Linked DNA regions of Macaca fascicularis. The protein of the gene in region 1 purifies or fractionates together with the protein of each later gene. This does not show direct contact. Links are inferred from orthologs where the notes say so. Each region holds a gene or a part of one and is shown on either strand. Other genes may lie near its edges. The genes, in order: ARRDC1 and NEDD4L.

Region 1 (4,304 bases):
CTTCACCAGCTGTCCTAGAAAAACTCGCAGCACTGGGGCCTGCCTCACCCACTCCATGGTGAGCTTGTCCGTAGGCGAGGGAGGCCTTCCCTTTCCAGGACTATCCAACGGTTCTCTCCCCACTTAGGTCCCCGGGGTATTTGAGTCCTACCCCCCCGCAGCTCACTCTCTACAAAAGGATCTTTAAGAAAGATAAATAGGAGTGTGTTTCTCCGGTTCCCAGTGATCTAAGTCCTCGCCCCACCTGGCCCCCGACCCTTCTGTTGCGGACCCCCGCCCCAGGGCCTCCGCCCAAGTGTGGCTCCGTTGGGCCCGCACCCTATCAGGCCAGCAGGGAGGGGGATAGCAGAGGGCGGGGCAGGCACTGGGACTCCGGGCAGGTGTGGGGAAGGCAGGGGGCGGGCGGGGGGGCGGTGGTTGGGCGAGGCAGGTGCTGGAGGGCGGGACAGGTGCGGGGGCAGGCAGGTACCGGGAAGGCGGGAGGGCGGGCAGGTTCCGAAAGGGCAGGACAGGTGCTGGGACGCGGGGTAGGTGCGGGGAAGGCGGGGGATGCGGGGTAGGAGCCGGGGGTGGGGGTTAAGGCAGGGCAGGTGCTAGGCGGCGGAGCATCCCCGCCCAGGACGCCCGCGCGGCCCAGTGACGTTTTTCCGCGACTCGGGGTGAGGGAGACCCCTGGGCGGGGCGGGCGGAGGGTTGGGGCGAGGCGTGGGTTATGCAGAGCGCAGCGGGGAGCCCTTCCCAGTCCCAGAGCTCGCCTCGGCCCCGCCCCCAGCCCCGCCCCCCGTCAGAGACGCGGCGGTGACTCCCTCAGTGGGGGATGCTGGGGACTCTTTCGCCTCAAGTCCCTTAAGCGGCGCCCGACGCAGCGCAGCACCTACCCAGCGGGGCGGGGGCCGGGGCCGGGGATGGATGAGCGGGGCCGGGGGGCGGGGTAGGGGTGGGGCGGCCGAGGCAGGGGCGGAGCTGGGAAGGCGAGGCAGGGGCGAAGGGCGGGGGCGGGGCGAGGAGCTGTCAGAGGGGCGGGGCATAATCAGGGCGGGGCCACGCGGACGGATGGGGCGGGGAATAGGGGCGGGGCCGGGCCTCCGAGCGGCAGCCCGCGGGCGATGGGGCTGCCAGGGGTCTGGGCGGGGCCGTGGGGCGGGGCAGGGCCTGGGAAGGGCCGGACGGGGGCGTGGCCTGGATTGGGACGGATGGGGGCGGGGCATAGGAGGGGGCGGGGCCGGACCTCGGAGCCGGGGCTCGCGGGCTGCCGGCGGGGGCGTCACTGTGCGGCGGGCCGGTGAGGCCGCGGCATGGGGCGAGTGCAGCTCTTCGAGATCAGCCTGAGCCACGGCCGCGTTGTCTACAGCCCCGGGGAGCCGCTGGCTGGGACCGTGCGCGTGCGCCTGGGGGCGCCGCTGCCGTTCCGAGGTGGGCGCGGGTCCTCGGGGAGGGCCATTGGCCGCACCTGCGCGGGGCCAGGGTTCCCGGAAGCGGCTGCCGTCGCCGGGCCCCGGGTTGGGCCCGCGAAGTCGCTGTCGTAGCCGCCCGGGACTGCTGGGGCGCGGGCTCGGCGGCGCCGGGGAGGTCCGGGCGGCGCCGCCCTTCCGCGTCTGCCCTTCCTGCCCTCTCGCCGAGGGTCGGCGTGGTCCCGGCGGGGCCTCAAGCCGGGGCCTGAAGCGGGTCCACGGTGGAGGACGCCCTGAGTGCGGGCACAAGCAGGCCTGCGACCCTCCCTGTCCGCGCTCGCACCTGCTGGGCTCCTTCCCGCACCCGGGCTCCCGGCGCAGGCGCTCCCTCTGCAGAGCCGCTCCTGGCCCGGGCGTGCGGTCCCGGCGGGGTGCAGGCACCTGCTGCGGCTCCCCGCGCCCCCTGCCCCGCGCCAGCAGGCCTCGCCCGCCCCCCGCCGAGGCGGACGCCTGGGCCTCGGGGACTGGGGATCGGGTTGCTGCAGTGGCCGCTGGCAGGGCGCCCTGGAGGTGAGGGCAGGCCAGCGAGGTGAGGCTGCCTCCCGAGGATGGGAGCCTCCGCACAGGCCTCTGCCCGGCCCCTGGTTGTGAGTGCCGCGTCCCTGCCGCGGGCTTCTCTACCTTGGCCTCCTGTGGGAACCACCTGGGCTGCTTGGCCACAGCCCGTGGGCTTCCCACTGGACCTTGACCGCTGGGCCTGCGCGTGGGTGACAGCACCGCTTTTGTGCCTGCTGAGAACCCACAGCCTCTGTTCTGTCCTCTCAGCCGCCTGGGACAGGTGATGGTGCTGTGGCCCTGACCCTGCACCGCCTGGGGCTGTGGGACCTCGAAGAAGCCTGGTGGTAGGTGCTTCTGTCAGGCTCCTGGCCCCATTGGGCCTCCTGGGATGACCCCACAGGCTCCCTTCCTCTGTCCCCAGCTTGAGTTTGGGGTCTGGGTGGGGGCAGGTGTGGCTGTGGCAGGGCAGAGATAGCACATGCATCCCTTGAATACAGGTGAGGTGTGGGGTGAGGCGGGCCGAGGGGAGTGCAGGGCCCTGTCGTCCCTCCCCTGGCGCGGCCTGGGGCGAGCAGGCCATTGCTGACCACAGGGAAGGGATGGCCTCGCGGTGCGTGACTGGCCTGGATGAGCAGGCTCCCCGGCCTCCGGGTGGACGTGGTGGGTGGGTGAACGCTCACGCCTGTAATCCCAGCACTTTGGGCAGCTGGCCCAAGAGCTGAGGTAGCACTGGCTCACAGAGGCTGGTCCGAGTGAGGGAGAAAAAGGAGGGTCATGAACTAGGGAGTAGGAGATGGGCCCTGATGGGCCGGAGAGCACATATTTCAGGCTGCTGCAAGTGAGGTGGGAGGGTTGTACAGGGGTTCCCGGGGGTTTCCCCCAGCCCTGCCTGGGATGGGAACGGAATGTCATCGTTTCCTCATTCAAAGGATGCTTGTCAATCCTGCTAGGAGCCAGTAGGGAGGCCCTCAGCCCGCAGGAGGACAGCAGCCCTGCCTGGGCCCCTGGGCTTGCTCACTTACTCTGCCGATGAGTGTTGGTGACGGTCAGCACCCAGCCATGAGGACGCCTGCTGTCTCGAGGGCTGACACAGAGGGAGGCCTGGGAAGGAGCAGTTTTCTGGAGCCCAGGCTGGCCCAATCCAGGGCTGGGGGTCAGGCAGGACCACCTCGTGTTCTGTTACTGGGATGGGCGACCAGGATCGACAGTGGTTCTCGGAGCACTCATGGTAGGCCTGATGCAAATTCTCTCCACATCCCATGGGCCAGCCTCAGTAACGCTCAGCACCCTGTGGCGTGGTTGTTACTCTCATGATACAGATTTGGAAACAGGACTGGGGGAGTGGCTTACAGGTCACAGCTTCTGTGGCAGGCATGAGTCCTTTGGGATGAGGATGAGGAGTTGGTGGGTCTTCTTGGTCCAAGTGTAGGTGGTGCAAAGGAGGGGCTCCTGAACTCGAGAAGAAAGTTCCAGTGGTCCCTCGAGAACACGGCCCAATCATGAGCTTCCTGAGTCAGAGCAGCCTCCAACAGCTGGTCCTTGGTTGTGCATCTGAACACACTTAGGAAACATTTTTTATTTTTATTTTATTTTATTTATTTATTTTTCTGAGATGGAGTCTCGCTCTGTCGCCCAGGCTGGAGTGCGGTGGCGCGACCTCGGCTCACTGCAAGCTCCGCCTCCCGGGTTCACGCTGTTCTCCTGCCTCAGCCTCCAGAGTGGCTGGGACTACAGGCGCTCGCCACCACACCTGGCTAATTTTTTTGTATTTTTAGTAGAGATGGGGTTTCACCGTGTTAGCCAGGATAGTCTCGATCTCCTGACCTTGTGATCTGCCCACCTTGGCCTCCCAAAGTGCTGGGATTACAGGTGTAAGCCACCATGCCCGGCCTAGGAAACATTTTTAAACCTGCATGGGGGAAGAGGGACGGGGCTTGCAGGGCCCCTGCAAAGAGGTGCAACATTCAAGTCCAGAAGGCGGAAGAAGTCACACTCTGACTAGGCAACTGCCACTGAGCCACTCAGTCCTGCAGCCAAGCCCTGCCTGGCGGCTTTCCTGTTGCAAAAGGCTTGGTTCCCTTCAGCCTGTTCTGCCATTACAAGCAGTCTGCAAGCTGGAAAGAAGAGGGAGTGGGGTCATATGCCTCTCTCCGGCAGCAAGGAGACCCCTCACAATGGACCCCACGCACGGCTCTGGCTTCTGTGGGCAGAACTGCATCCTGTGGTCCTGCCTGATTCGATGGTTTGAAAAGGCAGAAACATGGCTGCTGCCATTGGCCTGGCCAGTGAAAACGGGCTCCCTGGGGAATTCAGCCAGCCTGGCCTGAAGCAGTTGCTGAGAGGTGGAGGAGCAGC
Region 2 (4,534 bases), on another chromosome or scaffold:
AAATTGTGTTTTATAATATTGATGCCTAGTTTTGCCCCAGGCCATCTGCAGTGTGGTTACTATGCAAAGAATGCTGGTGTTGCTGTTTTGTTTTTCTTTGTTGGCTATTAACCCAGCGGAGACAATATGTGGCTATGGTAGTACTTGGAAGTTCTAGCATTACACAGACTAGCTTCCATTTCTCTCTAGAGGTCATTTTTGGCATTTAAAACACATGCTTTTAGAAAACAGATTTGGATGTATGTAAACACAGGGTTAATCCACCACACCCTGGATGCTAGGGCTATTGACAAAGTCATGCTTTGCAGATTTTAAAATAAACTTTTTGTCACTCTTGCAGCTTGGTATTTTCCCCTCCTATTTTTTCACCCCCTCTAAATAAACCTCTTTGTTAACTAATTGGTGTTTCTGGATCATAGAAAATAGTGAGTTTAAAATACAGCATATTTCCAAGCTAACTACAAATCTGAGGACAGTTTTTCGACTGTGCACCTTTCCTTCCATTTCTTAAGTCTTTTTTGGTCCTTTGCAAACATGGCAAGATTCCATATTTGTGTCCCAACTGTGGTAATATTGCTGACTTCGTACTGGAGAGCAGTCAGCTCTAGGCAGCATTTCTTCTGCATGGTATTTAAGTTAAATTATTACCACACACAAAAAAAATCCACATGCACTCCCTTCTTCAATTTTCCTTTTGTTTTTTGTTGTTATTGTTTGTTTTTTCGTTGACGTTTTCTTTCCTACCTGGCATATGGGAGACAATGTTTTCTCCAGCTGGGTTCCTTTTCTCTGGTACTTTGGTGTCTGCCAGTCATGTGTGAGCTACACACACGTATACACCTTTTAAATGAAAAATGCTGTGATAGCAGGAGGCCAACTGGGTGTGTAGCACGTCGCGCTCCCTCCCCTCCCTTTAGCTATTTTGTTACTTGTAGATCCTGGTCTAATTATTTAGCATTAAACGGACACTAACTCTGTGGGGTGTGTAATCGTATTTATAGTACTGTTTTATTAGTTTGCATTCCATCCTGGTAGTGTAGTGATGTCATAAATAACAGAAACATGGTATCCAATGCTTGGGAAGGGGTTTACCCGGTGGCCAAGCCATATTTTACTTGTCGTTATTCCATGTGTGGTGGGAGGTGGGGAAATACCGTGTGTGCTGTTAAACATGCCAGGTCCCTGCACAGGTTAGACAGAGTCCCAGCGCTGTGCTCCATTGGGAAAGAAATGCCCTGTGAATGTGATGTGGTTTAGATTTATAGCAGCGTGGCTTGCAGTGTGTTTGCTGCCTTAGTCAGCTGTGAGAGCGCCCTGCTGGGGCCACTCCTTTCTGATGGAAAAGCAGCAGCTGGGAAGGTGCTGTTTCAGGCTCTTGCCGTTTAAAAAAAAAGCGAGTGGGGGAAAACTCCTCTAAGTCCAGAAGCTGGCATTGGAGGGGGAGAGCGCGGTCATGTGGTTCTGGCCACCCTACCCTCTGTCACAGTGTGGATGAGAGCTTTTTGCTCTTATCCAATCATGCCTGGAATGCCGCTTGCCACTTGGGTTATTTCTGCTATCTGTCGCTCCTGGTGCCGCAGTGCTAACAGTTTGGCAGATGGGACACTTTTTCTTGGAGTTTGTGTCTTTGGTTTGTGACTTCTGGCAGTGCCGGGCCTGTTGTTGCCGCTCGCCCTCGCCCTCCTGGCCCCCCTGGTCACCATGGCCCATCGGCTTCGGTTTCATTTTGGCTCTGGTCGCAGCAACACAGCCCCCGAATCAGAGATCCTAGACCAGGAGAGAGAAGACGACTTCTTCATGGCATTCCACACCCTACCACGGAGGAACAGCCCGCACCCCTTCGCCCAGAACGTAGGGGAGGATGGCGACGGAGGCCTGCAGGGAGGCGTGGGCGCGCTCAAGCGGAGCTCGTCCATGTTCATCCCGCAGCTCCTGACCAGCATCGACGCCCGCCCCACGTGCAGCTCCTCGGTGCAGATCTCCCTGCAGCGCAAGGCCGCGGACGGGGCCACGGATGGGTGCGGGCCGCCCGAGGGCGCCGACGATGGGCCTCCGTGCACCACGCCGGACCCCGGGGACCAGGCCTCCGCCACCGCCACCGCCACCGCCACCACGAGGGCCTCGCCCCAGAGCGGTTCCCGGGAGCCCTCGCCGAGGGACACCCCCGGGAACTCCCCTCCGAGGGCAGCCCGGGACCCGGGGCTCCAGGTCAACGGCACGTGCGGCGGCCGCCGCCGCGTGCGGTGCCCTGGCCCGGTGGACTGCCCCGAGGAGGCTGCCCCGGGCCTGCGCATCCAGCACCGCGCCTCCAGCGCCGACGTGCGCCAGGTGAGGCTGCTGCCCCTCGGCCCGGATGGCCAGGGCGGCCCAGCGGCGGCAGAGCCCAGGCGCTGGTCCCTGCAGCACGTTCCAGATGCTTCTGGAAGCTCCGGGAAGCGGTGTTTTGTCTTCCAGTTGCAGCAGCCCCAGCAAGGCGCTCTGGGGTCAGGCAGTGACCTCAACTTTGGCTTCACGGGCACAAAGGGGGACAGGTTGGTGAGGTATCCCCGCATTCGGCTGGAGAGGAGCACCTCGTACCCCACGCAGCCCCGAAGCGAAAGAGGGAGCCCCACGGAAGATCGGGGAGCCCCGGAGGCACCGCCTCGGGCTGGCAGGATGGCTCCCGAAATCCGCAGGACGAACTCCGCAGAGAGGACTCCGCAGGGCCAGGGGTGCACATTTAAGATCAGGCAGGATCAGAACGCGGGGCAGCAGCATTTTAGAATTCTTGTAACCCGGGGGCCGGAAGAAGCTCCCCAGAATCCCGAGGAGAAAAGCGCCAAAAGCCCTGTTTCCACGGGAGCTGACGCCACGGTAAGTTCACGGCTTGTTTACATGTGTTTACTGATTTCAACTTCGATGCTTACTCTGCGGCGTAACCAAAATAAACCTCACCCTCTGTCCCGGGAGTTTCCCTGCTTCAGGCCAGCGGATCTGAATGTTTGGCCGAGTTCTGGCACGATGATTTGTGGTCCAGAGTTTGGTGCGCAAAACACCATTTCTGCAAATGTCTTCTGTAGGTCCTCAAAGTCAACCAACTTTGTCTGTTTGGGAAATCCAAGCAGAATACCTTCCCCCTGCTTTTATTTTTCTGAATAGAAGAATTTTGAATAAAATTTATTACTTTAATCTGCCAAAAACCAAGTCAGTGCCCCAACATGTTGATGGTGGAAATGCATTTAAAAAGCTGCTTGCAAATATAACCTGCGACAATACTTTAAAAACAATCAGTTCTCGGAAAGGTGAGGATATTGCAAAGGACCTGAGTTTCGTCTCTTAATAGTTAAAGAAGGTGAATGTAAAGTTTGGTGAAATATGATTATTTGTCATGGCCTTTTTGCTGAGGGGGTCAGGTCAGTCGTTGTTATATAATTCGCTTTGGGTTTTTTTGTTGTTTTTTATTTTTTTGTCCCATTAAGTAATACTGAACGAGAGTAGTGTCACTTGTGGCATAGCGACATTACTGTCCCACAAGTGACACTACTGAGATACTAAGAGATGTGTTTTTAAAACAACTGGGTTATGGCCCAAGGCTAGGGGAAACTGACGGGGACTCATTAATGGTCAGATGGCATGCCGTGCAATTTAACACTGTCCACTTGAGTGTCCAAGCCGGGGATGCTGTATATAGAATAGTAAGTACCCTGTCTCCAGCTGTGGAAATAGACGCCTTAGAACAGATTCTGGCCTTCCTGTTTCTCTGTTCCTGATCGCTCCCTTTCAGTGAAATGGAGTACAGGGAGACAGCTGCACACTCCATCCGACCAGGCATATGATGACTCTGCAGCTTTCGTAGAGTGGGATGAAAAGTTTAATCAGTTCGGTTTCTTTTAGTAGTAACCACTAGCCAGTGAGTGCTTTCTCTTAAAGAACAAGCTCCTTATATTTTGAATTGGATATTTTTTTCTCCTGAATTTCATGTGACTGCCAATTTGAGGATACGATTAGTAAATGTCTAGGGGACTTTTTGTTTGGATTTCACTTGTGAATAGTGATTTAGAAAAGTGAGTGTCTGAGTATTACTCTAGAATTGTATTGTCTTTTATTGCTTTGTGTTCAGAAATACGTTTCGTCTTTTAAGTAAACTTTGTCACTCCTCTATCATTGGTTGTCATCATTTTGAAGATACAATCAGATGCTTAATGAAAATTTGTTTTTCTTCATCTCTTTCTTTCCATGTATCTCCTTTCTTTCATTATCTCAAACTCTTCTGTTGGGAAACAGCTAAGTGCTTTGCCTTGGTCGGAACCTATACCATATATTACACAATGGTACAAATTTTGACAGAGTTTTGATATTATAGTAGCCTTTAACCCCCACCCCAACAAGTTACCATCATGACAGTTGTAGGCTTTGTTCGGTAACACAATTCCATGCTGAACTTGGACCACTTAACACATGAAGATTGACAAAAATATATTTCCTAAAGTTTGATAACTATTCAGTTGTATTATCAAAAACTGAAATCACTTTGCAGGTCAGATATAGCGGACAA

The links.
Region 2: the proteins of ARRDC1 (region 1) and NEDD4L purify together in Homo sapiens (affinity purification with mass spectrometry; 3 studies listed by BioGRID and IntAct, counting the BioPlex papers as one, with this or other methods). This does not show direct contact. The link is inferred for Macaca fascicularis from reciprocal best matches to the Homo sapiens genes ARRDC1 and NEDD4L.

The regions. Positions count from the first base shown.
Region 1 is NC_088389.1:1,707,007-1,711,310, reverse strand, and holds the start of ARRDC1 (arrestin domain-containing protein 1), read left to right. Parts: upstream 1-1,263; 5' UTR 1,264-1,295; coding exon 1,296-1,413; intron 1,414-4,304. UniProt on the Homo sapiens protein: Functions as an adapter recruiting ubiquitin-protein ligases to their specific substrates. Through an ubiquitination-dependent mechanism plays for instance a role in the incorporation of SLC11A2 into extracellular vesicles.
Region 2 is NC_088392.1:22,722,335-22,726,868, reverse strand, and holds the start of NEDD4L (E3 ubiquitin-protein ligase NEDD4-like), read left to right. Parts: upstream 1-1,576; 5' UTR 1,577-1,701; coding exon 1,702-2,853; intron 2,854-4,534. UniProt on the Homo sapiens protein: E3 ubiquitin-protein ligase that mediates the polyubiquitination of lysine and cysteine residues on target proteins and is thereby implicated in the regulation of various signaling pathways including autophagy, innate immunity or DNA repair.